Tamandua tetradactyla: one gene and its partner. The protein of the gene in region 1 interacts with the protein of each later gene in a biochemical or structural test. Links are inferred from orthologs where the notes say so. Each region holds a gene or a part of one and is shown in the gene's direction. Other genes may lie near its edges. The genes, in order: ITPR1 and CABP1.

What was found.
Region 2: the proteins of ITPR1 (region 1) and CABP1 form a complex in vitro, tested with the Homo sapiens proteins (2 studies listed by BioGRID). The link is inferred for Tamandua tetradactyla from reciprocal best matches to the Homo sapiens genes ITPR1 and CABP1.

What each region holds. Positions count from the first base shown.
Region 1 is NC_135335.1:45,004,802-45,020,952, reverse strand, and holds the start of ITPR1 (inositol 1,4,5-trisphosphate-gated calcium channel ITPR1), read left to right. Parts: upstream 1-7,499; 5' UTR 7,500-7,759; coding exon 7,760-7,806; intron 7,807-7,825; exon of another isoform or gene 7,826-8,647; intron 8,648-16,151. UniProt on the Homo sapiens protein: Inositol 1,4,5-trisphosphate-gated calcium channel that, upon inositol 1,4,5-trisphosphate binding, mediates calcium release from the endoplasmic reticulum (ER).
Region 2 is NC_135331.1:20,848,622-20,864,886, forward strand, and holds the start of CABP1 (calcium-binding protein 1), read left to right. Parts: upstream 1-9,308; coding exon 9,309-9,953; intron 9,954-16,265. UniProt on the Homo sapiens protein: Modulates calcium-dependent activity of inositol 1,4,5-triphosphate receptors (ITPRs). Inhibits agonist-induced intracellular calcium signaling.

The sequences.
Region 1 (16,151 bases):
GTCAACATTACCCAGACTCTTAAAGTAATTGATAATATCCAGCCACACAACACAAGTATGAAGGGTATAATGTAGTGGATAAGAGCATGGCTATCTGATCAGGGTTCAAATCTTGGCTCCATCAGATACTAGTTCTTTGACAATGCTAGCAAATTATTTAACCTCAGTTTCCTCATCCATAAAATGGGGTCATAACCATATCTCACTTATAGGGTTGTAGTAGAATTAAATGAGATATTGTACATAAAAGGTTTAGCTTAATGTCTAGAATTTGGAAGGAACTCAATTAACTGTAGCTGATATTATATTTACAATTATGAACTCCAAACTGTGAAAAAAACCTTAGCCACGTAAATACCAACAGCGTGGAAGGAATTGTAGTCACCTGAGTTCTGAAAATCGCCAGGTGTTATATAACCTTTTGAGGGATAAAGTACAAACAGTAGGTTTGATATTTGTTTATAGGATAGGGAGAAGGCCCTTGTACTCAATGTTCTCTTGCTGTCAATATTTTTCTCTAAAGTTTTTATTTTGAAAAGTTTCAAAATCAAAAATATGGAATAATGAACAATACATATCCTTCATCTAAATCTACTAATTATTACATATTGCCACATTTGCTTTCTCTCTGTCTCTTTCTCTCGTTTGTCATCTATTGATAATCTTTGTCTAACTCAGTTATTGCACTAGAAGTTGCAAAGTAGTGATTTCCTAGTTTTATTATTACTTTTACGTGTATTAGCTGGATTTTTCTGCAAAAAAGAGCTTTCCATTTTTCTTTTGACAAACATTTCATCTCAGTCCAAACATTAGGGTAAAACAATGAGGCTTTTCCCTAGATTTTTTCAAGACCTCAGATCCAGTTTGACTATCAGAGCAGAAGGGAGGGAGGAGATGGTGAGAAGTGTCTGAGCCGATAATAAACCACTGGTTTTGCATGTTTCCTGGGAAAATAATGTATAAAGAAATAACAGTCTTCAGCCAAAGTTCCTAATTTGCTTACCTGGTTCTAGGCAACATTGGTACCAATCACCAGTGATAATATAGCTGCCACTTCCATATGTATAAAGTGTAGCAACTTCTTATTTTTGCATTCTTTTGTGACTTTTATGCTGCTTCCTGGATCTTAAAGTTAATACTGGCAATTTGCCTATGTTCCTTCCATGTTCAAGGTGATTGACTAGCAATATCTTCTTCACTTCACATCTAGGACGGCAAATATAGGGTCTCTTCCTGTTTGTGTCTTTCCTCAGCCTTACAGGATGTCCAGAGCCTGAATTCAGGAAAAATACCTTGCTTTTCCTAGCTGCACACCAAACTGATTGCTCTCATTCAAAACAACACCAATTATGCTTTTGCTATGTCAGTTAGGGCTGCTCCATGGTTCCTCGTCATTTCTTCTGGCCGGCCTGTGGTTCCAATAGTCAATTAGCAAGTAACTCTGCGTCCAGAGCTGAGTGGGATGCTACAAAGAATACAGAAATATAGGACCTGGTGCCTATTTTCAGGAATTTATCACAGAAAGATGGAGTTAAAAGATTATCTAATCTTGTGGGAGTGTGTGTCTATGAATGAGGTTTGGGGGTTAGTATAAGAAGCTCCATGAACTGGTGCTAATCTTTTGAGTATCTAAGTTATGCTGTGTTCTAGTTTGCTAGCTGCCGGAATGCAACACACCAGAGATGGATTGGCTTTTAATAAAAGGGGATTTATTTTGTTGGTTCTTCAGAGGAAAGGCAGCTAACTTTCCACTGAGGTTCTTTCTTACGTGGAAGGCACAGGATGGTCTCTGCTGATCTTCTCTCCAGGCCCCTGGGTTCCAACAACTTTCCCCGGGGTCATTTCTTTCTCCATCTCCAAGGGCCTGGGCTGAGCTGCAAGTGCTGAGATGAGGAATGCTGAGATGAGGAATGCCAAGCTGCTAGCAGTGCTACATTGCAATCTCCCATTTAAGTACCAGCCAATTAAGTCAGACGTCACTCATTGCAGCAGACACGCCTCCTAGCTGACTGCAGCTGTAATTGGCAACAGATGAGGTTCACGCACCATTGGCTTATGTCCTCAGCAACAAGACTAGGTATGCTCACCTGGCCAAGTTGACAACTGAATCTAACTAACACATGCTGGGACACGTATTCATAGCTTTTATAGTTTTTCAAAGAGGGTTGTGATTCTGTCCACTTACTATACAAAAAAAGTCAACAGTGACCAAGAATGACCAGTTGGAAGACTGCACAGTAGCTATTTCTGTGTATTGATATTTTTTTATGTTCAGAGGCAGTCTAACACATTAGGTAATGAATTAGCATCAAAAAAATGAATTCTGTGACTTCATTGTCAGGCATTTGGTCTTGCCACATTTAAGAATGACTTGGAGAAGATTTTAATCAAGGCTTCTTGTGATATCCATAGGCAATTGAAATCTTGTGCCTGGGAGAAAAATGGGGATTGTGTGGCCCAGTAATTTGAAGTTTGCAGCTGAGTACTATAACAGGGCACGGTGATATTGTCCCCATCCTTGTCGATAGCATTCTCTTGCATTGGTGTTACTAGGGTAAGCTAGCAAAGCCCTCTCATGTCCAATGATGCATTTGATCCAGTTAAATTATTAGCTTCAATCTATCAATGAGAAGACAGATTGAGAATCTATCAATCTATCACAGACCTGGGCCTCTGCAAGGTTAGGTGACTGGCCACAGTTACAGGGATATCAAGGGTGCAGTTGGTTGTCCAACCTATTTTTTCTGACCCAGCTCTTTCCAGCATATTTTGTTCTCTTAGGACAGTAATTAAGGATGGGCTTCTAGGTAAATGCCTCCAGTTGCAGTTTTCAGCTGTGTACTGCTGCAAAAACCTGTTTCTATTTGTAGGGGTAGGCTGGCATGCTTCTATTGGGTCTTCTTCAAACTTCTGCTCAGTCTATGATATTTTACTGACTCTGCAAAGCCCTCCCGTTTCACTGTGTGGGCATTTCAAGGGCAAAGTAATCAACGGCTATTTTCAGGACTGGTCACCATCTTGATTATGAACTTGGAAATCAGATTCATAGTTGTCTAGACGAGCATGGTCCAATAGAATGTAATAGAAACCACATAGGTAACTTTATTTTAAAAAGTAACAAGAAGCAGGATTTATTAAATTTAATAATTTGTTTTAACCCAGTATATCCCAATATTATCATTTCAACATGTAATCCATATAAAATATAAATAGATATAAATTATGAAGATATTGTGCTCATTTTTTTGTATTAAGTATCTGAAATTCAATGTGTATTTTATACTCACAGCACATCGCAGTTAGGACTAGACACATCTCAAATGCCTAAATGGCTTGTGATTACCATATTGGACAATACAGGTCTAGACAATTCTTTCAGGAAAAAAACAACAGTGAAGAAAAAGAAACTCTCCTTCCTCTACTGATAATGGAGAACAAATTTGGTGGTGGAGTTTTTATTCTGACATGACATACATCTTCATCAGTCATCAACCATGCCTTATCATAGACAACCTCTTAGGAAAACGGCAAAATTAGTAAAATTACTTTCTAGTGACCTAGTTGCTTCCAGAACCTGCTGTCAGTTGTAAAATGTTGACTAGGACCATCTGCACACACCAGCAGAGAAAACAGGCCATGATATGAGTGGGCTGCAAAGCTTGTGTGCTCAAAAAATATGTTTATCTAGCCTGTCACATGCCTGACACAGTTTCCATTAAAGCCATTAAAACATTTTTTTTATAAACACTTCCCCCCCACACGTCTACTAAAATGTGCAGAAGACTAATCCTTGCAGAATCAAGGGAGGTAGGGAATACAGGCATGAATGAGACACTGTCCCTGCTTCAAAGAAATTTGTGGTCTAGGAGAGAATGCAGACTTAAAGAAGTTGGAAAAGCAGGTAGGGGCCAAGTGTTGACTGTACAGCAAAGATGAAACGCCACTTCTCAAGCATGACCAAATTGTCTTCTGAAAACCCATGTGAAAATCCCATTGTGTTTCTGAGTTAGAAGCACATGAAAGAATTACCTTTCACTATTTACCAATTATATTAGCATAGGCTGGTTTGTGGAATTTTCTTGAAAAGCAGAGTCAAAGACCCTCTGGAAAATGGAGTTTCTTGATGATGAGATGGCATGACATAACTAATAATCACTGACATTGATTGAATACATGCCATGTGTCAGGCATAGATCTAAGGTCTTACTGTATTTTGTCTCATCAAACCCTATTGATGAACCATTTTACCAATGAGAAAACTGAGTCATAGAAAGATCAAGTAACACTGCCAAATGCTAGTTGGCAGCAGGGTCTAGCGCTCAGGGAATGGTGCTGAAAGAGAGGAGGGGGCAAGAGTGAGTAAAAGAACACAAACTTTGTCTGCTTCTGGAGCTTTACCTAGTCTTGGTCTGGTATTAAATTCATATAGATGTGAGATAAATAAAATACATATGTTTTTGTATTTAGCAGACAGTGGAGTTTAGAAGTTAAGGTCAAGGACTCTGGAGTCAGACAGCCCAGACACCTGTATGACTTTGGCAATGTTTTTTGACCTCTCTATAACTCAGCTTTCTCATTGGTGAAATGGTTCATAAGTAGGATTTGATGAAATAAAATACAGTAAGGTTTTAGAACAATGCCCGATGTGGCATGCATCCAATTAATGCCAGTGATTATTAGTTATGTCATTGTTATTTCTGTAATTATTTTTAGCTGCAGTGAAATTGGTGCTAATTTGCTCCTAAAGTTTTGCAAGACTGTTGACTCTATATAGAGTCAGCAATCCTGGGAGAAAGTAGGCTAAATCTAATGATTATCTTCCTCTAAGATGCAAAACAGGGGCAAAGAGATAAAAATGACTTGCCCATCCGCGCAGAGGCAGCTCCAAAAATGGGTGAAGGAGGGCTGTGCAAGTCTTTCGCACTGGATTTCCTCAAAGACAAGGGCTTCATACACTCAAAGGAGTTGGAACCGAAGTTGGCTCCACCACTTACAGGTCATTTTGGGAAATTACCTGATTTCTCTGAATCCTTAGTTTCCCCACCTGTCAAAGAGGGATAACAGATATGCCTAAGGTTGTTGAATTTTAAAATTCATAGCATGATGCAGGAAAAGCGTTAAAATAAATTCAGCCTCCACGACTTTATTATGATTACTGTTGTAAGCCCTATGTCTCTCTGGGGTGCTGCCCTATATTTTGGCTTTCCATCATGCCCCAGCGTCTGGAGCTCAGGAGGCACTCCTGAAACGTCTGCGGAATGAACACGCGTGTTTGAGACAGGGAAACCAGTCGGCGGATTTTGCTTCGAGGTTAGCGCTTCCTCTCCTTCCAAAAGCCGAGCCTGGAGCGGCTTGGGTTTCAGGAGCCCGGGGGCTGCCTGGCAGTAGGCTGCACCCACCTCGCCCCGGACGCCGGTGTACGGCTGCGGGAAGTCGACCCGCGCGGACGCGCATCTCTGGGGCAGCGACTCCCTCCAAAGCCCTTATTTTCTTATTTTTCTGGTTTGCGGCTTATTTACTTAGGCAAGTTAGAGCTCCCAGGGGTAGAGGAGCCGCCCGAAGCAGGGTCAGAACTGAGGTCGCGGTTTCTATTTGTTTTCTGCCTCCAGTCTTAGCGCTGCAAGTCACAATACGGCCTTTGAGCACCAAGAGACTCACGTTTCCTCACTCCTCCGTGGGGCTGAGAAGGACGAGCAATTCGGGTTCAGGAAAGTGCTCAGAAGCGACCTGCTTGCGTGGACCGTCGTCTGCTCACTTAGTTTTCTGTGCAAACCCGAGTGGGGAGGATCAGATTAAATAAAGAAAACCTCGAGCCTTTAATCCCTGACCGCAAACATTGGGGTTTTTGTGCCCGGGATTTCTGAAATTCTTGGCTCAGAGATTCAGAGTAGGGGGGAGAGTGGGTAACAGCTTGTAAAAACTTCCCAAAGCAGAAATGCGAGTTTGCACACTCCACCTCCCCTCCAGCCCCGTCCTCCGGTCCCCATGCTACCTGGATGCAAGGGAAGGGGGGGCAGCCGGAGGAGGAGAGCCTCCAGGGGTTGGGGCTCCCTCCAGGGGGCGCGGACTGACAGCCGCACCACCCCTGGGCGAGAAACCCGGTTAAAAGCCCCTCCCCCGGCTCCGCGCGCGCCTATTTAGGACCCAGCCTGGGAGCCCAGGGGATTCTGGGGCTTGTAGTCGATCCTTCCAGCCCCAGGCGCCGCTGCGACCCCGGACTCGGACTACATTGCCCAGGGAGCTCCCTGGCCTATATAAGCGGCGAGGAGCTACTTCTAAGTGCAGTAACCATGTGGGTGTGCTGCTGAAGCGTTTCCTCAAGCTCGCCGGGGTGGGCGGAGAGGAGGAGAAGGAGGTGGAGGAGGAGGAGGCAGGGGGTGGAGAAAGAGAGAGAGCGCACGCCGGGAGGAGGTGTGGATGTTCCGCTTCCATCCTAACGGAACGGCTCCCTCTTCGCGGACATGGGATTACCCAGCGGCTGCTAACCCCCTCCTCGCCCTGCTCTCCCAAACCGGCCTGGCTCCCCCGGCATCAAGGTAGCGGCTGGGGCCGGGCAGAGGGCGCGGGGAGTTGGTGCTGTCCCTTCGGGCGCAGAAGTTTTTGCCCCGCTCTCTGGGAGTTCTTGATGGATATGCCTGCACTTGGCGTGCATTTGGGCGTTCTTTTACGCGGGGTATTTTTTTGAGAAGGGGCGGGGGGCTATTTGAAGTCTAACAACAATGAAAAAAATCCTCAACTGCTGAACCGGCTTTGAGGTCACCCATTCTGGACTGGAATGGCATTCCCCCAAGTTGAAAACTGTTGCAGCAGCTGCAGGAAATTGTTTGTTTGGGTTTTTTTTTTTTTCTTTCCGGGAGGGGGAGGGCGGGGAGAGTGTCATATGTGAATTTGCTCAGGGAAACAATTTTTCTAAAAATGTAGCCCTCCCTCGTGCTACAAGGTTGATAGAATAATACATGCGTGAGGACTCCGGGAGGAGGGCTTTACGAGACGGAAGAAAACCGGAGGGGAGCGGTAAGGGATGAAGTGTGGACGAAGCTCATGCCCAATGAGGATGCGGGCTTCTGATTCTTGGCCTCTGCTCTAAGAAACAAGTGCTTTGGAATCTGCCAAGCACTTCCCTTAGTTCCACACTACCCCCTCTTCCCCGCAGTAAATTCAAAGTTTGTGCGTGCCCAGCGCACATTTGTCAGTTGCATGCTGGAAATAAGTAAGTGGAGTGACCTGAGATCTTTGCCCGTGCAGTCACACCCACCTGCCTGCCGAATTTGGGTGGCCTGCCCGGGAGACGCTAAGGAAGGTGGAAACCTGGGGTTTGGAGCATTTCTTTAGGGAGCCTCGTTCCGTGGCCTTTACACTGAATTGTCTTTCTTCCTGAATACTTAGGAGCTGACCACAGAGGAGCAAAGCTGGGCGTGTTTTGGCAACGGAGTGCCTGACCCGGGTCAGGTGAGTGGACGCTTGAGTGCTGTGGTCAAAAATGAGTTTTTGTCCTAAGTGTATTTAAAATACACGCTAAAGAGCTATGGAGATGGGGCTTAGGAATGAAAAGTAAACTCTGTAACATTTGTCAGTGCCGTTGATGAGGGCTTTAGGGAGGATGAAATCCAGGGGGCAGTCCTGCCTAGCACTTTTGGCCAAGGCTCAGAATGGAAGTAGCCTGAAGGTTTATGAGAGAGTGGGAAAAAGACTTTAAATGGAGTAATCAAAGGGAGGCTCATTGGTGGCCTGAAAATCGAACTTGCCAAGGAACGTGCTGATGATTTCAGTTCTGAAGGATGCAGTGCATTTCATCTGCCAAGATATGTAAGCAAAAATGAACTGCCTCTCTCTCTTTCAAAAATAGTTGCCTCTTTTTTTCTTACTGTGAATGTGTGCTTAATTAGAATAGGTTGAATTGCAAGAAATGAAAGTGGTTGCTGACGAGTTGAAAGAATTAGAGCTTTAAAATGGGAAGTTAGTTCTTGAAGTATAAGTTAGTAGCACCCAGCCATTACTAAGCCACCTGAACTTCGGAATTCTAATGGGTCCTTGTGGTTTCAGTGCCTGTCGTGAATATGAGCTGAAGGTAGGATTTATCTGTAAACACAAGCAGCTCCTCCCCCTGCTCAACCCCCTCCCTTGACAATGGTCAGACTGCACTTTAAGAGAGGGAGGTTTTAACGGGTACACAAACATCCACATTACTGTAGATTTGGCCATCACAAGTTTTTTTTTTTTCTTTTAAAATGGTCAATAACATGGTAAACAAGTGGTAATGGGGATGGCTGAGTCTTAGTAACTCCTTTAACCTTCTAAATATTTAGCTGTTCCCTGGGCTACAATCTTTGGGCTTTTCTAATTAGAAAATAGAAGTCAGGCACTTCATTATGGTAGTTCAGTGCTTTTGTTTCCTGTTGATAAGATCCTAAGGAGTGTTGGTGGAGTGGGAAGCATTTGGATGTGTGAAGCCTAGTTCCTTCTTGGAGCCCTTGGATTTTATTGACTTGCCTGGCTATTTGGGCACTCCTAAGGCCGAGGATTGAGTAAAGCGCCCCTCTTCAAAGTAAGCTGCAAACAAGGAGAAACTGGCTCACAGACTCTTCTTTGACGGGAAGTACTTTCTGTATGCCAGGTCCAGAGGCATATAGCATGGAAACACTGTTAGGTAGGTACAGGTGAAAAAAATGAGATGCAGAGAGTTAAATTGCCTGGTGGCTAGTATGTTAAATTTCCTGGTGGCTAGAATGCAGTGGAAGTAAGATAACCCCAGGCAGCGGAAGTCACAGTGCATCTTAGAAATGCACCTAGTTTACAGGGGTGGAGGCCAGTGAGGGGGATGTTCGGAAAATTGGTAAACTTATTGCTGTTGATGAAATAACTATTGATTGTCACACCAGTGATGGATTCACAGCACTACCTTGCTGTGAGAAGGAATCGATGTAATCATAAATATAGGGATAAAAGAGCGTAGATGTTTGAGGAGGTGTTAGATGTGGTACATGGTTCTCTTTGGAAAGCTATGTGTTGAAAACCTGAATGCGGAAAGTAAAAGAAACATAAACAAAACAAAACTATGGGGAACATTGATTTCAGCATGGGGTTCATCTCATATCTGAGAAATATTTTGATCATCAACATCAAACAGGTTGAAAGAGTCTGTTGTTTCTCCATCTGAATAATTTGAGAGTTTAAATTGCTGTGCACTGTGAAATGTTGATATATTTTCACAAATGTCAACTTGCTCTGTGGCCATTTGAGCATAATATACTTTTTATTTTATTTTCTTTCTCTGTACGTGTGTGTGTGTGTGTTTGTGTGCGCACATATGTGTGTTGAAAGTGCAAACTGCTTTGACTAATGCAAATCAGAGCAGAAAATCCTATCAAGATTTTCTTCTTATCAAGCAGGGAAAGTTCTTCATGTTCTAAATTAATTATTCCTGGCCTAGCTCTGAGACCCACGAAAGTCATTTGGGATTGACAATGGCATCCGTTTAACCAACTGGTTGCCTTTTGCAGGGAATTGCTGTTCTCTTTTTGAGAATGAGAGCAGTAATACTTGCTTAGAAGTGAAGAAATAGATAAACTCCACAAGACAGATTTGTTGCTTTACCTTTAATATATTTTCAGCTCAGGAAGACGAGTTGTTTCATATAAAAACAAAATAAGTAAACAAAAAGAAAGGAATAGAGAAAAAGAAACGTAAGCCAGTTTGTCTTCTAGAGAAAGAAAATCACATGGCATTTTAGTTCATTTAAAATGGTCTCATGGAAACTTTGATCTCTTTACAAGCAGCTCTTAAAAATGAAACAACAAATACCAAATATGAACAACAACAACAACAAAACAAAATAAAAGTAGGCCTGGAGTTAGGTTTCTAGGTCAAATTGTCCTTGAATACATCTGATTAAGGAGTCTAGACAAGCCAATGTCCCACCTTGTTTGCTGTTGGTTTGGGCTTTTAAAATACAACACATTGAATTTGCATGTTCTCCATTAACTGGCAATGAATGTAGATTTTTAGTTCAGTTTTGCTGTTTAAGATTTTTGCACAGTTCTTTGGATGAATGCAATTAAGGCTTGACGCCATTGACATGTATGTCATACCTCTGTAATTCTTACCAATTGAGTGTCTGTGGTTCTGAAACAATAACTGATGAGGATGAGCTGATTAAACCACTGAAACCCGAACCTATTGAGCTTTGAGATTCCCTAAACTGGGCATAATTTAAGGCACTTGGTGTGGTTAAAAAAAAAGGTGGACCATGTTGGAGAAATGTCAGGGAGGCCAGGGTGGGTTGGAGCTGTGGGGAACTGACCCTGGGGCAGGTGCTAGGAAATCAGTGAGAGAGGAGTAAGGGTCAGACCATATAGGGACCAGGTTTTTACAGGTGTACAGTGGTTGAGCTGGGGATGTCGGAACTCTTATACAGTGCCCAGTTGATTCTCAACATCACTGAAGTATGTCATTATTTCTGAGGAGAGCCCAGTAAATCTGACAAAGCCACATAACCAGAGGGGAGCTTAATCTACAGGGTAAAACCCAGGTTTCTATACTGGCTGGTTAATCCCATGATTTACCCAGATTGTAATTCAGTTCAGTTCAGCAGAGAATCCTCATTGATAAATAGGTGAGCCTACAGCTAGTTTGGATAGCATGTTCTAAGAACCTAGCGATATGTCTGCAGTTTATCTTCAGCACAGACCTTCTGTGTCCCACTGCACCCTGCAGTTGGCCCAGTCTCACGTTAAGGGAATTACACAATGAGAAGTAATCCTCTGCTTCTGTAACATCTCTGGGGAATGAAAAGTTCCCCAGAGAAGTGAAGTGGACCCCTTCATATGTGCAAACTTAAAACAAACCTCAATTTTTGTTATTTATTATGTGAAGATACGCGTTTTTCGTTGTAGTGAAACAGAAAATAAAGGCAAGCAAAAAAACCACCAAAACCAGCTACCCCTAACTCCACCGTCCAAAGATTCGGGTTCTAAACTTTCCCTTTCTCTCTGTCTGGATATATATGTATAAAAATCATGGGTATATGTCAAGTTCATAAAAAGGGACTCATAGAATGCTTCCTTCTTGGTAACTTTCCTTTTGCAATCAATCTATCTTGAGCATCTTTCCTTGTTTATAAGTAGCCATCTGCGTCTCCATTTTCCCGAAGGTGGCTATGCCTTTGATGGGATGTCATTTGAGTGATGACATGCATGGAATCATTAGGTTAAAAGTGTATCATTTAGGTTTCATCATTATCATACAGTCCAGTTTTTCTCATTCAGTTTATACTGTATTTTTAAGAAAACTAAAAGTAAAAATAAAGTACTATGCATGTTCGCTATCTTATTACAGGAGTAAAGTATAGTAATAATCTCATTTGAATATAAAATTTCCCATTTGTTCTTCAGAGTAACCTAATGCTGTGAGATAGGTAGATAGGTATTTATTTATTTATTTGCTTGTACTTAAAAAGAAAGCTTTACTATAGAAAATTTCAAATACATGCTGTATTAGATATTTTAGTATAATAAACCCTTCTTTAATACTCTTAACAGTTCTTTCCCTACTCTCAACAGTTATCTCACAGCCAATCTTGTTTTATCTATATCTTCATCCACTCTCATCTTGGATTATTTGCAGCAAATCCCAGACATACTAGTGCATCTGTATTTCATTATGCATATCTAGAGTTGGGATTCTTTCTTAAAACACACACAAAAAACATAATCACAATACTATTATTATCACATCTCAAAACAAAATGAAAGACTTTTTTTACCAAGTCTATATTCGTAATTCTTTGATTAATGTGTATGTAAGTTAAAACAAATGTATTTAATAGTTTGTTTAAATCAAGATCTCAGTGAAGTCCATATATTATAAATGGTTTATTTATTAATCTACATATTTCCCCTACAGTGCTTTTATTTCCATACAGTTTTTTGTTTTATTAAAGAAACTGGGTCATATATTTTCCCATGGTTTGGATTTTACTGAGTGCATCAATGTGGTGAGCTTCACATGTTCTTTTATTCCCTACCTTTACCATAATTTGGTAGTTAAATATAGAGTCATCACGAGATTCAGGTTCTTTTCCTTTTCTTTTCTCTCTCTCTCTTTTTCCTTTGATCAAGTCTACCTTGTGAGCTTCACTTGGGGGAGGTATGAAAAACTGGGTGTTTCTTTTTGTGTGATTATATTCAGAATTCTTTTTAAATTTTTGCATTTTGGGGATGCTTTCAATAAAACTGTTGAGGTATTAAGTTTTCCTCATTTAAATTTCTATTTCCTCGCTTATAAGATGAAATTGACAAGAATACCTACCTGATGACAAGTAAACCACTGATGCTCATTTCCTTGGTCCATTAGTTCATTTGGAGTTGTAAAACCCCTAATTCTATTTTCCTTTCTTTATTTATTAGCTGGGATACTTTTGTGAAAAGAAATTGCCTCCACTTAAGTATTTGGTTACCTTGAGGTACAGTTCATGTAGGAAAGGCAAAGTAGGTGTTTTGAGTCTATTTATTTTACCAGTTTTCAAAATAATGAGTTAGTTCCCTGATGTCCTCCAAGGCAGTGGTCATAACCCAGGACACTTTTACCCCCCTATGGGACATTCAACCATATCTAGAGATATTTGGTGGCCACAACTGGGGGTGGGGTGGGGAGTGGTATGCTGCTGGCACTAAGTGGGTTTAAGGCCAGCTATGCTGCTAAACATCCTACAGTGTGCAGGCCAGCCTCTCATCCCCCAAAATTATCCAGTCCAAAATGCAAAATATAAGTCTTGCCACCATTGAGAAACCTTGCGTAGTTATCCTTATTGATGCTCAAATTATCTATCTTTAATCAGTGAGAGGCTATTCAGGTGGTCTCCGGTATCTTTTTTGATACAACCTTAGAGATCTTTGAATGCTTTCTTGTTTTCTATCTGACAAGATGTTCCAGGAACATCTCTGTATTTCTTGCTCTTGACGTGGAATTGGCCATTTCTCCAAGGAGCCCTCGTTCTTTTGAGTGGGAAATGGTATTTAGAAACCTCTGCTTAGTATCAGGTAGGTATTCTTGTCAATTTCATCTTATAAGCGAGGAAATAGAAATTTAAATGAGGAAAACTTAATACCTCAACAGTTTTATTGAAAGCATCCCCAAAATGCAAAAATTTAAAAAGAATTCTGAATATAACCTAATTTTTTCTTTAAATTGGTCTAATTTCAAGCCTTCATGTATTGGGAGCTAAGACAAAGTGGTATTGCTGAATTAAGCAGAAACATTCCACATTCGTGGTTTTAAAACTGTGTAGTGACTCATTCAAAGGTCGTGAAATCAATTTAGTGAGTGGCTATCAACTTTTTTTTTTTTTTAACGCAGTAGACTAAAATAGAAAATATCAGTGTGTATTGCATGGATTCTAAATAAAATTGTGTACATTGCAACAAACTCACACACACACAGTGAACTTTGGGTGGTGAAGTTCACTATTTGTTGCTGAAAGTTGCAGTCAAAATCTGAGAAACGTTTTTCCACATCCTTGATACTCCATGTGTGAACTGCATTGGACTCAACTGGGAACCGGCTAGAAATGCAGACTCCCAGGCCCCACCGTAGACCCACTGAATCAGAACTTGAATTTATCAAGATCCCTAGGTGTTTTACTCACATATGAAAGTTTGAGAAGCTCTGTGCTGGACGATTCTTGGCCCCTCTGCTTTTTAAATACTTGCCTGATTTTTATGATTCCTTTGTCTTTTCATGGTTGATGCTCACCTCTGTCTTCTGTGCTTCCTTCCAGTAGCCTTCTGATTTTCAGTTAAGTGGAAAGAGGCTAAAACACCACCCTAAAGTGAGAGCAAATAAATTGGCTAGGTTCTTTCATGGATACATGGGAAACTTCCATACCTAAACATAGGGGACATTTTAATTGGCTATTCACATAGAGTCAGGAAGAGACCAGAAACTGCAGTGGAACCTACTTAGAATTGTTAAATTACAGATAAAGCTGCAGTTTAAGCTGTTGTTGTTGGGCACTTTGAGGAATTTATATTTCATAATTTTTTATGATCCATCCCTTCAGCAGAACGTCAGGACTGCTCAGAATAATCTTGCTCGTTGGGGAAAAAGAAGAACCCAATAAATGTACTACTGGCTTCCAAGTTCTCAGTGCTCTTTGCATGTCAGGAGGAGCTTTAGCTGGGAAGAGACTTTTTTTTTTTCCAAAACCATTGTAAAAGCATCACCACGTACATATTTCTGAACAGAAAAAAAAGCTCATACAACAGCCCCTCTATGTCTTCCTAGCCCCTGCCCCTCTATATCCTAACCCAAATCTTTTCTTCCTACAGACCCAGGCTGGAGGCGTCCATCTCTGGGAAGCCTTTCCTGATACTTGAAAATCTTACTGTCATTTGAAATGCCATAGCATTTTATATCTATTTTCCTCATGGACCTTTTTGTTGAACTCACCAGAGTGCCTAGCCTATAGTAAGTGCTCAAAAAATTGTTGAGTAAAGTTATTTATATACATTTTTGTTGTCCCTTTGAAAGCTCTAGGGTGCATCTTAGATGACCCTGATTTTTGTGCTTCCTCTCCCCAAATAATATTTTTTCGACTAGCTCCTTAATTTGCAAATCCCTTCTGCTGTAGAGAGTTATGTGAGGACCAGGTAGAGAAGGGTTAAACGGTTCTTTCTGGTAACTTTTGACATGTGCACATCAGCGGTCTAGAAAGCATCATGCTTGGGAAATTGTGTGAGTGTTAATAAAAGGGAGTGAAAGTAAGAATCAGGTAGTGAAACTGAGTTGCTACCACGTTGAAATGGCATTGCCTCGCTGAACCACGTTGCTGGGACTCCCAGGACTCGGTGTTGACTGCTTCTGGGGTACAGGCAAAACATGTACCATCTGTGTGTCTGTTTCCTCTCCTGTAGACTAAGGATAAAAATACCTGCTCTAGGTCACTGATGCTAGGGTGTTTAATAATAATAAATGCCTGCAAAAGGTCTTGGAGATGAAATAAACCAAAACAAAATAAAACTTATGTTCTGGAGTGCTGTAGCCCTGAAAGTTAGCATAGTTGTATATAATATGGTTAAAGTAACAGAAAAAGAGATCATGCCTCAATTAGAGTTAAAAATAAAGCCAGTCTGGCTGGGTCTAAGGTAAATCAGAAGGTAGCGTAAAAGATAATAGTATATGGACTCTAGCTCTATGGTATGAGATCAAAGACAGAGAGGTTTATTATGTCTAGAACCTAAATTTTCTGTAACACATAATCTAAATCAGCCTCTCTGGATGGCTCCTTTAAACAACCCAAACTCCCAGATTCTGGAATGGAAACGGGACCTTTCAATTCTGTGTAGCTTAATATAATACCAGGATACATCTCAGACTATGGTGAGCTGATAATTAAAAAGCCTTGGTAGGGTCCCCTGAGGGTCCTAAGGGAAAAATGGATATATATATAAATGGAACTATTAAACTCCCATCTGGGAAACCCCAGATACCCTCTCAAACATTGGGGACCCTGAAGAAAATAGGCCAAACCCTGGATTTTGAGGTTTACTCTTGTGAAACTTATTTCTGTGGGGAAAAGCTAAGACCACCTGTAAAGAGGCCTAAGTGTAGCTACCAGGAAGACTCTTTGTTGTTCAAAAGTGGCCTCTCTTTCTCTAATCCCATCTCTGCAAGGAAAATTGTTGCTGTTCCCCCTACGTGGGACATGACATTCAGGGGTGAAAGTCTCCCTTACAACATGGGGCATGATTCCAGGGGATGAGTCTGGCCCTGGCACAGTGGAATCGACAATGTCTTCCTGACAAAACTGGGGAAAAGAAGTGTAATAAAATAAAGCATCAGTGGCCAGGAGAGATCAAATGGAGCCAAGAGGCTATTCAGGAGGCTACTTCTTTGCAAGACTTCCGTTAGCAGTGCTGATTGCCATGGTTTTCCAAACCCCAACCAACATCACTCCTGTTGACTCTTTTTTTTTTTTTTTTTTGAGAGGGAGGAAGGGAAGGAAAGAAAGATGGAAGGAAGGAAGGGAAACATCTTTAAACATTATCTTATTTTATTATATTTTGTTTGTTTGTTTTTTACATGGGCTGGGGCCGGGAATCGAACCGGGGTCCTCCGGCATGGCAGGCAAGCACTCTTGCCCGCTGAGCCACCGC
Region 2 (16,265 bases), on another chromosome or scaffold:
TTGGTAGATGTTTTATGCTAAATCTCAAGTCGGGAGCATCAGTTCTGTAGTTCTCTCTTTATAGTTGTTAACATGAATTTTGATAGCACGAAAAAGCTTGTTCTTCAGATTATATTTAGCTCATACAAACTCGGCTGCACAATTATGTTGTAAAGAGGAATTCGGTTTTATCTTTAGGTTGTTATTATAGCCTTGGGAAAAGGTGAACATTGAGAATAACTACATAAAGTAGTAACATATTGTATTATTAATTTCGCTACTTAAAAAAATAATGTCGTTCAGGGCCTAGAACAGACTGACTTGTGTGATAGGTGTATGTCAGGGTCCCAGTAAGAAACAGATGGTAGAACTCAAATTAGGTAATTAGAGGAGGGCTAATAAAGGGGACCGGTTACAAAGGGTTTTGGGACAGGGTTTAGGGGAACTGTGAGGGACAGTGCAGTTCCTGGAGGGCTAGTAACAGCTGAGGCTGTTACCACCCACAGATTTGAAGGTTGAGGGGAAGGAGAAATTACCCAACCCAGAAAGAGAGAGTTGGATGGAAAGGCCCACCTTGGGAAGAGCGGTGACCTTTTAACAAAGACACAATCAACATGAGTCTGTCTAACAAAGAGGGAGGTTGGGGGTGGGGGGGGGGAGGCAGAATAAATGCTTCAGCTTCCCTGCCCTCCAGCCCTCCAGTCGCCTGCTGCTGCTTCCTTTTGGCGGAACCCAATTGGAAGCTAAAAGGCAAGGGAGCAAATTGATATAGTCCATATAGGTCAGTTCCTCAGGGCAGAGAGCAGGATGGGGAAGGGTGGAAAAGTGGATCGGGAGGGACAAATGGAAAATAGCTGGTACAGTAGGCTACATTTGATACTTGTTCAATCTTGATATTAAAGCTTGGTATCTTATGGAGGCTTGGGGACCTTTGGGCTCGGAACTACAGCAGTCAGTTCATTCTTCAGATCCACTGAGCATACTCTAAAAAGTACCATACTGGGCATTTTGAGAGAAGCCCAGCAGTAGCAAAGGGATATCAGAAATGCAGTGAATTCTCCCTAACGCATGCATTTTTTAAGAACACATCCCTGCTCTTTTGAAAGCATTTGTTTAGAGCTCTGAAGAGTAAAACACGACCCCACTGGTGTCAAAATTAGATGCTGCTTCCCCAGAAGCAAGAGTGTTCAGGCATAGCTGGCAACTAGCAATTACGTCCTTGCCATGTTGCTACCTTTTAGGTGTAGCTGAATGAATAGTCATTTGTCAGGCCAGGGGACCAGAAGATGATTTGTCAGTGCAACTCTGGAAACTGGACTTGCTCTTCTGAAAGGAGTGGATTGTGGCCTGACATTTTTCAGAATCTGTGAAACCATGCCCCTTGGAGGTGGGAACGGGTCTCCTTTAGTGACATGTCTCTGACAAGCAAATCAATTCGTTCCATTTGTTTCCTCTTTGGAAACAGCAATCCTCGAGCATTACATAATCTAATCTTCATGCCTCGCTGGTTTGTTCTGTCCTCTTGAGGAATTGGCAGATGGTGCCAATGCGGAGACCCGCGTACACGCCTCGCAAGCCTCATGGTAGCAGGAGAGCTGCTCAGAGTGTCTGTTTCTGTGCCGTGGGGTCCCTCTCTGGCATTTGTTTGCCTGGATCAATTTGCTCTTTAGTATTCGGCAGACACCCCTGGCTTCTTGCCTTCGGCTCTCATTCCAAGATTAATTGGAAATGCTGAAAGCAGATAAAAAGAGAACAGAAAGTGTAGTTGAAACGGCAGAGAATTTGCCAGATCTTTTCTAAGAGCCCTCTTCCATTAAAGGCTGAGCATCTTTGGGGCTCTGACTTCCCTCACCCCGTGTAGTCCTTGTCTGCATCCTTGTTGCTGGGTCTCACACAGCAAAGGGGCAGGACTGGCTCTGCCAGAGCTGGAAGAGGAGATATTAGCTGGTTAAAGTCTGCATTTCTCTCTGTAACAGTGGGTCACATACCTGCAGAAATGACTGTTCCCCAGATAGGGCAGTTGACTGGAAACCATCTTTGAGTCAGTGATGTCATCCTTGCTAAAGGAAAACGACTTCAGAACTCTGTAAGGCAAGGAGCCTCCCTTGTCCTTTCTCAGAAGGAACCACGATGTATTGATGTCCTTTTTAAGACGCCTAAAAACCTGGGAATGGCAGCTTTCAAGGAAGCAGAGGTTTCTCAGACAACCTGTGGTAGAAATACTTAGGAAATAGAAATCAGTTGACATACTCTAGTATTGCCTTTCAATTGTTAAAATATGGAAACATTCCCATCCTGGGTGGTGAATAGTTATTTATCTCTCAGCTTCCAAGTGCCTCCCATCCCTCTGCTAACATTTCCCTTGCCGAACCCCCTTTGTTTCCAACCGTGCGGTACCAAGACGTCTGCTTGGTGTAGGGTCAAAATACAACTCCAGGTGCCACAGATGTGATCGCCCTGCCCACAGATTGCACATAGGCTGACTCTGATTTTGAATGGAACCTTCTAATTAAAACACAGAACTCTCCTGCCTATGGCAAAAACATACCTGGACCTGAAAGGGCTTTACACTTGGTCACTCGGGACCCAGGTTGTATATTCATACAACAGAAATGATCTGTCTGAAGGAGAAAAACAAAACAAGCCACAGAGTCTTGTAAATTCCATTTTCCCCTGTTCAGTCTAAACAAAGGGGATTCATTTCTGTATAAACACTAACTTTTTGCTCTTTAAAATGTGTTTTCACTGGGTTTCAATTGTACACTTACTGTGAGTGCACTATTATGTGTTTAGCCAGTGTGCTAAGTGCTGGATATCCAGTAGTAAATAAAACAGCCCCTGTCTCTGCTTTCATGGAATGTACAGTCTAGTGGAGTCTCGCGGGGTAGACTGATAATAAAGGAGGGCACCGTGGCTGGAGATTCGTGACGTCATCTGAATATGGGTTGCATTTTGGCTAGTGGAAACTGCATAGCTGCAGTGACTAACTTCCGGTGTGTTGTACACTTATCATATGTATCTACACTATTAGAGTACCCAAATGTGTGCCATCAATATTAAAGGAGTCAGGCATAGGAGATGATCACTGTCCGGATTTCAGAGAGACTGAAAACTGCTCTGGATTAGGGAAAGAAAGGAAGGAATTTTCTGAATGACATTGATGGTGGGGCAAATATATCTTAATATTTGGAGAACAGATGTGCCATTCTTAAAGAAGTTGAGAACTTCTGACTGATCAGTCATCTGGAGGGGACAGAAGCTGCCTTGTTTATGCCTTTTCTCTCCTTTGCCCTTGTGACTTGGAAACAAATAAAGAACTCACTAGCTAGGATTAGGGATATTGGCTGCACACACAAAATCATGGAAAGCTAATGGTCTCCAGAGTACCCAGCTTGTAACAACCTCTGACTCGCTGTCGGAGCTTCTTCTCAACCGAGTTCGGTTGCCACTATTTTCAAAATCTTAATTCATGTCCCTGAGAACATCTCCTGCTTGTTTGATTTTTCTTTTATTGAGTTGTAATTTACGCACAGTGAAATGACAAGCCTTGAGTGGACAGTTCAGTTTTGACAAATGCATATACCCTTGGTGCCCACACCCCCTTTCATTTTATTTAAAAAATATTAAAATCCTCTTAAGTGATGAACATTCAGCTCCAAACGGCAGGCAGACTTTTGGAAAAGAATCCCCTATTCAGGCCACCAACTCCCCCTCCGCCTCAATTCTCATCCACTCCCTTCCCGAGTTCCCCAATCGCCGCAGAGGATTTAAGCCATAAGAACATTCTGTAATCCCAGCTTTCTGAAACCTAACAGAGATTTTGTCATCTGAAAACAAAGGGGAGATTAAGTGCAGAATTTGACTCTGACAGCAGCGGAAAGAAATGAGCTAGACCAGACACGTCACAGAGAATTAATTGCACTACTGTACAAATGCTCTGCAACCTTTCTCAAGACTCTAAACAAGCCACGGTCTTGGCCAGAATAAAAGAACAGTTTTTAAGGGGTTTGCCACAGAGACATGACATTATCAAACTGAGATAGATATGTTAAATGAGAGATCTGTGAGCATTTTGAGAATTTTTTTTTTTAAACAAGAATTTTATTTAAACAACAAAGACACTTGAAGGGAAAACTATCTAGGATTCATTTCTTTTAGAGTAATTTATCCCTACTTAAAGACAGATTGCCCTACATGTAACAGCTACATACAAAAAAGTTATAAAATTGTCCTTGGTTTTACAATGATAAATGAAAAACATTAAAATTCTCCAATCGAACAAGATATGCAAGGATTTTTTTTTATGTTGTTGGTTTTTGTTAAACAGTGAGAGCAAAATAACTTACTGGAATATAAAGATAAGAGTTGAATGAGCATGCCACTAATGGAGAAAGGGGGTATTTTCACAGAACCAGTATTTTTCCCCATCCCATCTCCATTTGATGTCGATTAAAACATACCATTGGCCATTTAGTTAAAAAAAAAAAAAAGCAATATGCTTGTGCACATACACCAGTTACTTTATGTACAATAAAGGAACAGGGAAGGGTAAAATGAAAGAATAGAGAAAACTATACTGTAGTAGTCAGGATGTGGTGGAACCAAATTGCGGTTTTTCTAATTGAGAATGTCTTCTTGGTCTGCAGGAACAGAGTTCTGGAGTAAAGTAGCAGGCTCCCTTTTTGATAGACACCTCCTGTCTGCTGCTGGGACACATCAATTGTATCTTCAGCCTCCATTTCCAACTGTGCAGGTGTGTCTGTTTCATTGATTGGCTGCCCATCAAATCGGAATCTGATCTGCCTCATTGACAAACCCTGTCGTTCACAATAGGCTTTCATTAGTTTACTAAGTGGTGTCTGCCTCTTAATCTTAAACTGCACCACAGAACCATCCTGCCCCGCCACCTTCAAATTAATATGATCGTTGTTCTCAGTCTTGACTCCTTCCTTGGGCTTTTCGTCCGCCATAGCGAAAGCCGGAGTCTCCTCAGCTACCGCTTCACAAAAGAGGTACCAGGTCCACACCGAACGAGCACACAAGCAGCACCAGGAGCCCATTTTGAGAATTTTGCCCTTAAGCTTGCCTTACTCGTTATGAATGACTTAGAAATGAGAATAAAGACAGCTAGATATACTGGTTCTTTCTTGATTAACATAATGGTCCCAGACCCATCTTCTCTTTTTTAACAGCCCTTTTGTGCTGGGATGTCTTTCCAGCTCTCCAAAATAACTCTTCTTTTGCATAATTTTCACTAAAAGTTATATAGTCAAATAATGTAACAACATGTAACTTATTTAATAATTACAGTTTGGTTAACACTTAAAAGGCAAATGACAGGGTACGCTATGGTGGCTCAGCAGGCAGAATTCTCACCTGCTATGCCCGAGACCCGGGTTCGATTCCCAATGCCTGCCCATGCCCCCCCTCCAAAAAAAAGACAAATGACAGACTTTATGTGAAAATTCTTGTAAAGCTATAAAGATCTATACAATCCAGAGGGATTATTTAACAATTATTTCTGCATGGCAGGACTCTTTGTAGTCACTTTATTTCCAGCATATCTCACAATCAGAGAGGCAAGCCATTCTCCTTTTCCACATTCATGTCTTAATGATGGTATTTTGGAAATATTTCCTGAGTGGACCCAGACACCTTCTTACCAGATTCAATGCCACGAAGGAAAGCATGCTGCTTGACTTCTTTCCTACTCTTTCCCCAATGCCTAGGACGTGGCGGGCACTCAGCAATTTTAATTGACCTTCTTACCTCCACTCTATTTCTTGTCAGCCCCACAATGCATCAACATTCTCTTTAAAAACACAGTTCTGCTTATGTCCTACACACACTTAAAAAACCTTCAAGGACTCTCCATTGTCTATTTTTTTTGGACAGCCAGGAAGTAGTTTATTGGTGGGCACAGATCAGGTGAGGGCAGTGCCAGCAAAACCTTCATGAGCGCAGGGCCCACCACTTGTCCAAGGGCCCGCAATTGGGGATGTACTTGACCCCACAACCATCTGGGATGAGGTGCTTCTCGGCCACTATGTCTTTGAATTCATCAGCATTGAACTTGGTAAAATCCACATCTTGGAGATGTGGATTTTCTGGCAGCCAGGGAACTTGAACTTGGCCCTGCGCAGCGCCTTTATCACATGCTCCTTGTTTTGAAGCTTGGTGTGGGATGGACATGATGACTTGGCTGATGTGGACTCTGGCCACCATACCCTGGGGCTTTCCAAAGACACCACGCATACCTGTCTGGAGCCTAGGTTGGGGACAGCGCAAGGCCAGACAGGACCATCAACAGGAAAGGGCTGAGTTGTCTCCTTGGTCCCTTAGGGCAACCCATACAAGCAACAGGCTGCATACACTACCAAGGAGGCTGCTGTCCGCATCCACTGCACTCCCGGCCCGCATGGGGAGAGGGGGACGGTCGGCTTAATTGGCTGCGCATCCATTGTCTATTGAATAAAGAATAAATTCCTAAATATCACATACCAGATCCTTCACAGTCTAGTTCCAAACCACCTCTTCAGGCCCATCTCCCCCCACCCTCCCAGTCTCTTTCCTCTCCACCCAAATAACTTTCTCTTCCCAAACACTCCATGCAGGTTCATACTCCAAGCTTTCACTTAAGCTGTTTCCTCTAGAATGCCCTTCCTTTTACCCTCCTTATGCAACTGGTGGCATTTCACTTATTCAAAGCACAGCTCAAAGTTACCCTCTGTGGCACCTCCAACTCCATTGCACAAAGGCCCTTTTTAGGTGCTCCCGTATAACCCAGCTTGTAATTCCTTTATTACATGTTCCTTATTATATTATAGTTGTTTTTCTCCTCAAGGAATTTGAGTTCCTTGAGAACCGGGACTGAATCTTACCATTCTTTACACACCTCCTGAATCTGTCTACTTCTCACCACCTCTGCACTATCACTCTAGCCCAAACCACCATCATCTCCTACCTGGATCATGTAATGGCACCTGGCTCCTCCTACAATGGCTAATGGCTTCCCTTCACACTTAGGAAAAAACCCAAGCCCTTGGCAATCTGGCTTTTGCATTCCTCTCCAACCTCAGCTCTACTGGTCTCTCCTTTGTTCACTCCAGCCCCACTTGTTTGCTTGCTTCTCCTTGAACACTCCAAGTTGCTCCCTCCTCAGGTCTTTTGAACTGTTCCCCTTCTGCCAGGAGATCTCTGCCCCAGATAAAGATGTGGTTTCCTCCCTTACTTCATTTAGCTCTCTGCTCAAATATCTCCTCAGAGAGGCTTCCCTAACCACTCTCTAAAACAGTCCCCTCCATTAAACCCTATTCTCTTACCCACTTTAGTTCTCATGGCACAAAACATCACCACTTTGTCACCTGCCGTTACTTTTCCATGGATTTATATGTTTGTTGCTGAGGATAGATTTTGTTTTACTCACTGCCATTCCTTGGTACCTAGAACAGTGCCTGGCAAATAACTGGCACTCAATATTTGTTGAATGCATGGGTGAGTCTGTGTATCCCAGGTGCCAATGCAGTGCCTGGCTCTATAAATGCTTTTTAAAAAATAAGTGACCAAATTAATGAATGTTACAAATGAAATGGAGTTCTGGGGTGCATCCAGAATAGACTGTTTCATCCATTTGCTTCAGGAACAAAATGGAACTTTGAATTCTTTTATTCACTCTAATAATCACATGCTTTGTAACCAGGTACTTCCGTGTTTTCAGAAAGTAGTTGCTGACAGAGGTCTTGCCCCAGGGCATTTCGGGAGTTTGAGAAAGGCAACCAAGAGTGGCGCAGCAGAGATTTGGAATGCCCATCAGCCCACTGCATCCCATCAGCTCCCGAGGGACTGGATAACGTACTTTATCTCCTGCGATTTATATTGAATATACATCTGTAGTTAATCCCGACAAACACTGATTATTCTGAGGGCTAGAGCAGGTAAGACATTGATTGACTCCAAGCCCAGAGAGGGTGAACTCTTTACACTTTGCTTTGCGAGTGGACATTGCAGCAGCCCGGCCTGCCTTGGTGCTGTGCTTTAAGGAGCCTGGGCGACTTCAGTAGGGCAGTTCAGCCCCTTGCAATAGGTGAAAGCTGGGGTACAATTTGTCACAGTTCCCTTGTTCACTTTGGCTTCTGGGCAGTTGCTTTACCTGCCCATCCTGTTTCTCTTAGTTTCTTCCATATGGGTATGTGAAAGAAAGAAGCAGACTGCAGAGAAGGGTGAAGCCTTGGCAGGAGTTGCAGTGCAGCATATTGGCAATCTGTGTATCTGTCCTAAGATGAAGCTGTAACCAGACTGTACCCTATTCACGCATGGATGGTACTAGGGCCAGAGGCCAGAACAGGGAGAGCCTGGGAGGTCCACCCCTGTTCGGATCTCAGACATCCGGGATGTTACTAGATAAGCATGGTAGATGGGGGCCTCCTGACATGCAAAGGGAGGGGACCTCGCTTGGCTGTGTGTGCTCTGTGCCAAGCACTAGGCTGGGCCTTTTATGTGCATGATGTCATCTGTTGTTACCATGAAGTTATTTATGATTGTTGCCTGCGTTTTACAGAAGAGGAAAACAAGGTTCAGAGAGGTGATGACTCTTGCCCAGCCTCTGTGACTCCCTCCCAAGAGGAGGAATTTCTCCAGCATCTACAAAGGCATGAAGGTGAGAAAGGGGACAAGATGAAAGAGGGGCAAATAGGTTCTACCTGAGACTTGCTCATCACCAGGCCCTACCCCGTTCCAGCAGTTCAGAGGCCACCTGGCTTCTCTTCTGTTCTGAGAAGTGAGCATATTGCGCCCCATTTACCCGGGTCATCCCAGCCTCACTCCACGGGACTGGGAGGTGAGTGACGCACCCTATAGAGTGGAGCTTTTCCTTCCAGCAGTGTCTTTCCACACCATTCTGGCTCCTGTGTTTGTGCACGGTCCTTGGGCCCTCCTTAGGTCGCTAGTTCCTGCACCTCTCTCCTCCTAATTTCCGAAGTTGCGGGGGTGCACTCTGCCTGCGGCTCAGGAGGTTCCGGGGCCCTGTGGGCACCTCCAAGCCTGATAAAGGGCGCTGCCGGTGCCACCAGGGTCTCGACCTTACTGGGACCCTTAACCAAGCCACCTCCCTTGCGCTCCCGGCTCCGCGCGAAGCACCCCGTCCGCCGCCAGGGGCCGCCCGGAAGCGGGGTTCCCCGAACGCTGGGCGGGGCAAGAGGCGGAGCGCGGCGGTACCTGGGCCGCTGGAGAGCCGGGGGTGGGCTTTCGGGGGACAGCCAGCGGCCCCCCCAGATCCGCACCGCCAGCCGCCCGGGAGCTCCAGGGTCCGGGCGCAGACGCTGCGCTGTCACATGGGCGGCGGCAACGGGGCCGCATTTAAGCGGCCGGGGGACGGCGCCCGCCTCCAGCGAGCCCTCGGGCTGGGCTCCCACCGGGCGCCCGGCTCCCTGCCCGCCGGGGGCCCCGCGCCGCGCCGCCCCGCGCCGCCCCCGCCGGGCCATGCAAGCGCCGGCCCGGCCGCGATGAGCTCGCAGATCGCCAAAAGCGAGTCCAAGACGTCGCTGCTGAAGGCGGCGGCGGCGAGCGGGGGCAGCCGGGCTCCCCGCCACGGGCCTGTCCGGGAGCCGGGGCTGTCCGGCCGCCGGCTACCCGGCGCCTGCCCCGCCACCCCGCCGCCCGGGGACCCCAGTTCGCGGAGACCCTTGTGCCGGCCCGCGCCGCGAGAGGAGGGCGCGCGGGGGCACCGGCGCGGGCTCCCCCAGGCGCACGGCAGGCCCCGGGAGGCGCTGCCGGCCGTGGCGCCCAGACCTTCGCCGCCGTCGCCGCTGCCGCCGGCCCGCGGGCGGGATGGGGAGGAACGGGGACTGGCCCCGGCGCTCGGCCTCCGGGGCTCCCTGCGAGCCCCGGCCGGCGGGGACTCCGCTCCCGCCGCGGCGTCCGAGGCGGACCCGTTCCTCCACCGGCTGCGCCCCATGCTCAGCTCCGCCTTCGGCCAGGTAAGGGCCGCGCCTCCCGCCCGCGCTCCCGGGAGAGGCGCTCGGGACCCTGCCGCAGCCGCGCGCCCGTAGCCCTCCCCCCACAGCCGGCGGCCCCCAGGGTCACGCCGCGGCTCCCCCAGCCCTCCCCCGGCCCGGCGCCCTTGCCGCGTGCCTCCTCCTCGGTGCCTGATTCAGCACCCTGTGCGCTGTCCGCGCTCCCGGCCTCTTTTGGGCGAGGCCCCAACCTCACACCTGCCGGGGTCCGCCAGCCTTGGAAGGGAACAACCTCTACTATCCGCCTGGAGATTTGCAGGGGTCGAGGAGGGGCGCTCGGAGCTGGCGGGAAGCGACCCAAGAGTGCAAGGAGTCTGGACTCCAGAGTACAGAGAGGGGGCACAGGCACATAGAATTGCTGGGGGCCATTGTGTCTACGATGGTCCCAGACGTTTGAGAAAAGACAGACGCAATGAATGAAAAAGTTAGGAGAGCTAGAGGGAGTCTCAAAAATGTGAGAAAGAGGAGAGGTGTCTGCTAGAGGGGCCGTACAGAGCTATGGTTCAGACTGCAACTTTGGGGTGTTATAAGGAGGTGCTATTAATAAGGATGCCGTTTGAATGGCAGCTGGGCAGTTGTCAAGATGAAGGTCATGGGACAACACCCATAGGCCCCTAGCCTGAGTAGGGGTGCCTTTTCCAGTCAGAAACGTCACTGAGTGGTCACCAGTGACTCCTTCTGTTACCCGCAGGCCTTTCCCTCAGGGGTCCCAGGCAGCTGGGCACCTGCCCTTTAAAAAGCCAATCTGTCATCCTCATCCAGCTCTGCAGTTTGGGAGTGCGCTGCTGGGGAGAGGGGCTCAGCGGAAAGGAACCTGTGAACTCCTGAGCAAAGCCAGGATTTTCTCCAGTGCCGAGTCTGTGCTCAAGTCCAAATCCTTGGCGCAGCATCGAGACAGTTCTGCAGCAGCCAAGGCAGGGAGTAGCGCAGAGGTCTGATCAGAGCATCTGCACCGTGTGTGTGTATTTGTGTGCGCGTGGTGGGGGTAGGAGAGAGGGGGCCCCAGAGTTTCTGTGCTAGGATCTAGAGTAAAAAAGCCGTTTCAAACTCCTGACTTCACCGGACTGGGTCACAATTCCAAGGAAGGCCGAGCGTGTGTGTGTGTGTGTGTGTGTGTGTGTGTGTGTGTGTGTGGCTTCAGATCTGCACATTCCTTTTCAAAATACTACACTGCAGTGGCTGATGCCGGGGGAGGTCTGACATGAAGGCAGCTACACATGGATTCGGGTTGAGCGGGCTGCTGGGGTGATGTGATAGGGCAGCAGTGTGCGGCTTTGTTCCCACAGGGAGACCTCATTAGCCGAGTTAGCTGGAAACAGTCCTCTGGAGTCAGGATTTGGAGGCAGAGCTGTGAAAGTTCGTGCGGGAATGTGTGGAGGGAAAAGTCCACTGCTGTGGCTTCTGTGTTAGTAAGGAGCTGAAGGGTGTTTGGGCACACAAGTGGGTTGTGCAGCGGGACTGAGGGGCAACAGGGATGCTGTGTGACACCCACTCATTCATTTATCCAGTATTTCTTGAGCCCCTCCTCTGCATCACATTGACCAGGCAGTAGGGTGACAACAGTGAACAAGACAGCCAGGGCCTTGGCCCATTCTGGAGAGCTTCCAGTCTTGCAGTGTGGAAAGGTATGTCATTGGTCCTGAATCACATCCTTTCTGGTTATTTAGTTTGCTGGCGATCTGAGTTGGTTCTTAGAAAAAGGGCCCTTTCTTTGCAGTCTGGTGGAATTCGCCTGCATGGGCCCTTGCTGAGCTGAGCATTTCAACTACAGGCTCTTCTACTTTCTCAGTCATTAAATGAAGAAGATTCCCAGCCCAGTGTTCTGAAATGTCACCAGAGTCACCTGAGTCAGAAGGAGCTGGAAGGTCCCATCAAATATTTACTACCTCCTGGAAGCTCTGGCCTCTGGGGCTGCAGCACATGCAGTTTGGGATTCCTGCTGATGTCTCTAAGGCATCTGCTTAAATGACAACTGCGACAGCAACAAAACCCAGGCTGGGACTTTTGTATCAGAGCCTCCAGTCTCCTGTGACAAAGAGGAATTAGTCTTTCCTTCCCTCCTCTTTGCATTGAGATTTGTCCCTAAAGACAAGGCCAGGACCTAGAGAGTGGAAACAGTGCACTGAATATAGAAACTTTCCAGCTAGGATTTGCTTAGGTCAGAACAGCCCTGAGGAAGTATATTTTCCACATTTCTCAAGTGCCATACATGTATATATATATATTTTTTTGGCGTGGGCAGGCACGGGAATCGAACCCAGGTCTCTGGCATGGCAGGCGAGAACTCTGCTTGCTGAGCCACTGTGGCCCACCCCATACATGTATTTTTAACCCTAAGTGAATTGCTTTGCCTCATTAAGCTTCTGTTTCTTTTCTGCAAAACAGGGATAACCATAGCATCTTGATGAATTTGGGGGAAATTCAGTGGACTATGGAGATAGAAGTTGGCCCAGGGTGTGGCACACGGTGAAGGTTCTAATAATATTCATTATTATTATCGTGGTTGTTATTGATTAACCACCAAGGGCTGTGTCAGACCTGTTTTCTTTCCCATTTGTAATAGCCTCAGGGAGAACCAGGGTTCAACGTGGCATTGAAGGTACCAAAATAGGTTCCTCCACTAAGGAAGAACAGGGATTTTTTTAGGGTTCTTTCAGTGACCTTGCAAAGCATCCCCACTGCCTGCAGGGAGACAGCATGCTTTTGAGGCTAAGGCATGGAGGGACTCCGGAGCTGGGACTGCAGGGTCCAGTCCCAGCTCTGCCACCTCCTGGTCGTGTGACCTTGGGCCTGTTACTCTCTCTCTCTGGTCTTGGTTTCCTTATCCAGAAATGAGACCAACAAAAACTGTCTTGTGGAGTTATTACGAGGCTTACACAAGATTAAGGATGGCAACTGCCTGGCTCAGAGGTGGTACAGAAGAAAGGGCACCTTTCATTAATGTCATTATTACTATTAACAGAATAATTGCCTGATTGAGAGTCTGTATAAGGCCATTTGAAAGCTGCCTGTGAGCCGAGGGGGGAGAGGTATTAAAGGAAGAAACTGACTGTCAAGGGCCCTTCTCTAGTTCCCTTCCCCCTGGCCAGCTAAGGACATGCCACCCACCTGCCTGGAGAGAAGAAGATGGTGTCAGAAATTAACTCAGAATAGAGATGATCTGGGGGAACTCTTGGCTTTGGGTCTTGGAAAACTATTTTAAGAAAAGGCTTTCTGTTCCTCACCCAAAGCTTGGGAAGAAACACCCCTTGTCGAGGAGGCAAATGATGATAAAAACCCAGAGCTCTGTCTTATCCTTCACTCTTTCTAAGCTATAGGGACATCTCTGGTTTGTGTAGGCGAGCACTGCTCCCAGACTGCTTTGCACATGGCAGTAGTGAATGAATGAATGCATGGATGGATGGATGGATGAATGATTGGTATCTCTAGCCTCTGGACTTCAGCTTTTGATGGAAGAGAAAAACTATGCTGATTTGGCTCCTAATGGGTTAAAGCACATATTCCTAGAGTGACAGCTAGGCCCATAACTCACTCCTGGCCTGGCCAAGTCTCTTTCTACCTCTGGCTGAGACTGGTGGGAGCCCCTCCGGCTTTTCTTCTGGGACCTGGGGAGGGGAAAGGAGAAGGTCAGCTTACGGCCACTATCAATCACAGGTGACAGGAGTGGCTTGCAGTCAGTTTTGGGGAGGCCTCCAGGATGTCTGTATTTTGCTTCTGGCAGTTTTGGGGAAGCAACAAGGGTACTTGAGACCTCAGTCTAGAGCCTCCTAAACAACTGACAAAGTATCTTCTCATTATCTTTTCTTCCTGGTAACCCATGAAGGTTGGCATTATTGTCCCCATTTAGAGGCTCAGAGAGCAAAAGTTCAAGGTCACAGAGTAAATAAATGGCAGGACCACGATGAGAACTACGGGCTGCCTGTCTCCAAACACATCTGTCTGTGCTGCACCATGCTGGTTTGGTGGGAAGTCACTATAAGTATCTCCTATTTGTCAGAAGCATCTCCTTAGCACCTCTCATGCCAGGACCCAGCTTTCCCCGAGTATCTTAGCACTGGGCTGTCATCCAAGTTCAAACACGGCCCAAGCTAGCCTCCCTCCTAATCAGGAATAATCAACAGCGGGCTTATCCTTCTCATCCCTCTGATCCTATTGCTCCATTCCATAACTCTAACAGCGGTTTCCAGAGCCCATGGGGGCTGCTGCCACCGTGGACAGGGACAGGGAGAGGGAGAAGGGCCAGGCGATGCACTTCACTCCTTAGGGGATGCCCCTGTCACCGACTGCACCATCTGTCCCCTGCCAGGATCACTGGTCCCCACCCCTCTCCTTTCACTCAGAACCACCACTGTCCCACCTGTGCACCCTAAATAGCTTAGGTACGCTCTGAAGCACTGGGTCTGAAGGCACCTGGGTCCCTTGCTGTTCTTAAGTCAGACTAGTGTCAGCTCCCCTCCCAAAAAAACAGGATGGGAGTACATCAAAGTGCATGACTTTTCCATAGGGGCCTGGTTTTGCTGTCTCCTGTTTCCAAGGACAGAGGCATATCCCAAGGTTGACAGGCGGGTGTTGTGCTTGGGGCTGGCCTGCAGGGGGCAGGAGTCACCAGGTCTGAGTGAGTAGGTGCCCTGCTGAGTGATGCCACACCCACTCTGACAGCTGTCCCTTTAAGACTCACGCTAGGAGGGGAAGTGGACACTTCTCATGCTCCCAGTACTATGCCAAGCCCTTTGCACGTATTATCTCATTTAATCGCTAGAGCCCTAGGAGGGAGGGTCCTATCAGAAAACACATTTTATAAATGAAGAGCTTAACATGTCCTCGTGTTAGAACACAGTTCCTACATAGTCATAAAATAGCAGGGGTCAGATTTGCCATCAAGTCTGTCTGATTCCATATTCCTGGCTCTTAACCTCTATCTCAATGAATGGTTCTCAACGCAGGCTGAAGGTTAGTTCACCCAGGGAGTGTTAAATAACATCGATGTCTAAGGCCCACCTAGACCTGTTAAATCAGAATCTCTGGGCAAGCTCCCTGGGGATCCTCACCTGCAGCCAGCTCTGAGAGCCTCTGCTTTACGCTGGACTGCCTTTACACTATCAACCCCTTTAGTTAATAGGAATGAATTGGTGCTTAACCGAAGTCCCCTCTAGGGTCTGTAGAAAGTGCTGTCTTTTCAAAAAACTCTGCAGATGGTCAATTTTCTACATTTTGTCTACAAGTCTTCCCTGGTCTCCTTCTTCCCCAGACTAAGTCAGATTCTCCTGTTCCATATTCTCAGAGTTCCTGTGTTTCCCCACTCATAACATGTATCTGAAATAGAATTATGTAATTGTGTGCAGTGCTATTTAATCTCTTGCCTGCTTGCTAGAATGTAAGCTTCCTGAAAGCAGGGCCTGTGTTTATCTTGCTTCCCACAACATTCCCAGAGCCAAACACAGTGCCTGGCATGCAAATATTGGACTTGTGATATTTTTTCCCTTTTGTTTTTTAATGCAATTTTATTGGGATATACTCACACACCATACAGTCCATCCAAAGTAGACAATCAATGGCTCGCGGTATTATCGCATAGTTGTGCGTTTATCATCACAATCAATTTTAGAACATTTCCATTACTCCCCCAAAAGAAATAAAAAGAAAATAGGAAACTAATAATATCCCACACCCCTTATCCCCCCCTATGATTGACCCCTAAGCATTGGTGTGGTACATTTGTTACTGTTGATGAACGAATATTAGATATTACTGTTAACTATAGTCCATCATTTGCAACAGGAGCATTCTTTCCATTATACCCCTCTATTAGTAGCTCCTTGTAATAGTGTCATGAAAGAACTTTTTAATATTTGTACAATTAGTCAGTTGTCGTCCACCACAAGATTCTTTATGTTAGACAGCCCCCTGTTTTAACCTCCAGCTTTCCTGCTGGTTACAGACACGACTCTAAACTACCCTTTTGCATCACTTCACCCACAATCCCTTCCATTTTAATAATTACTTATTATGTGCCACTCACTTTCCCACTTTATAAGCAAGATAGAGGACGCCCCGGTCTCCAGAGGAGGGAACCGAGGCTCAGGAACGTAAGGTGATGACAACAGTCAGAAGCCGGACTCAGCCCGGGGCTTCCAGATTTTTCCCACCCATCTTGGCTCATTGCTCGTGCGCACGGCCCCGATGCCCGGCTCTGGCCCGGCGGAGATGCTGCCCCGGCGCCGTTTCCGAGGAAGGTGCAGGAGACGTCTCTGAAGGGGAATTTTAAGTCGTTGGCTG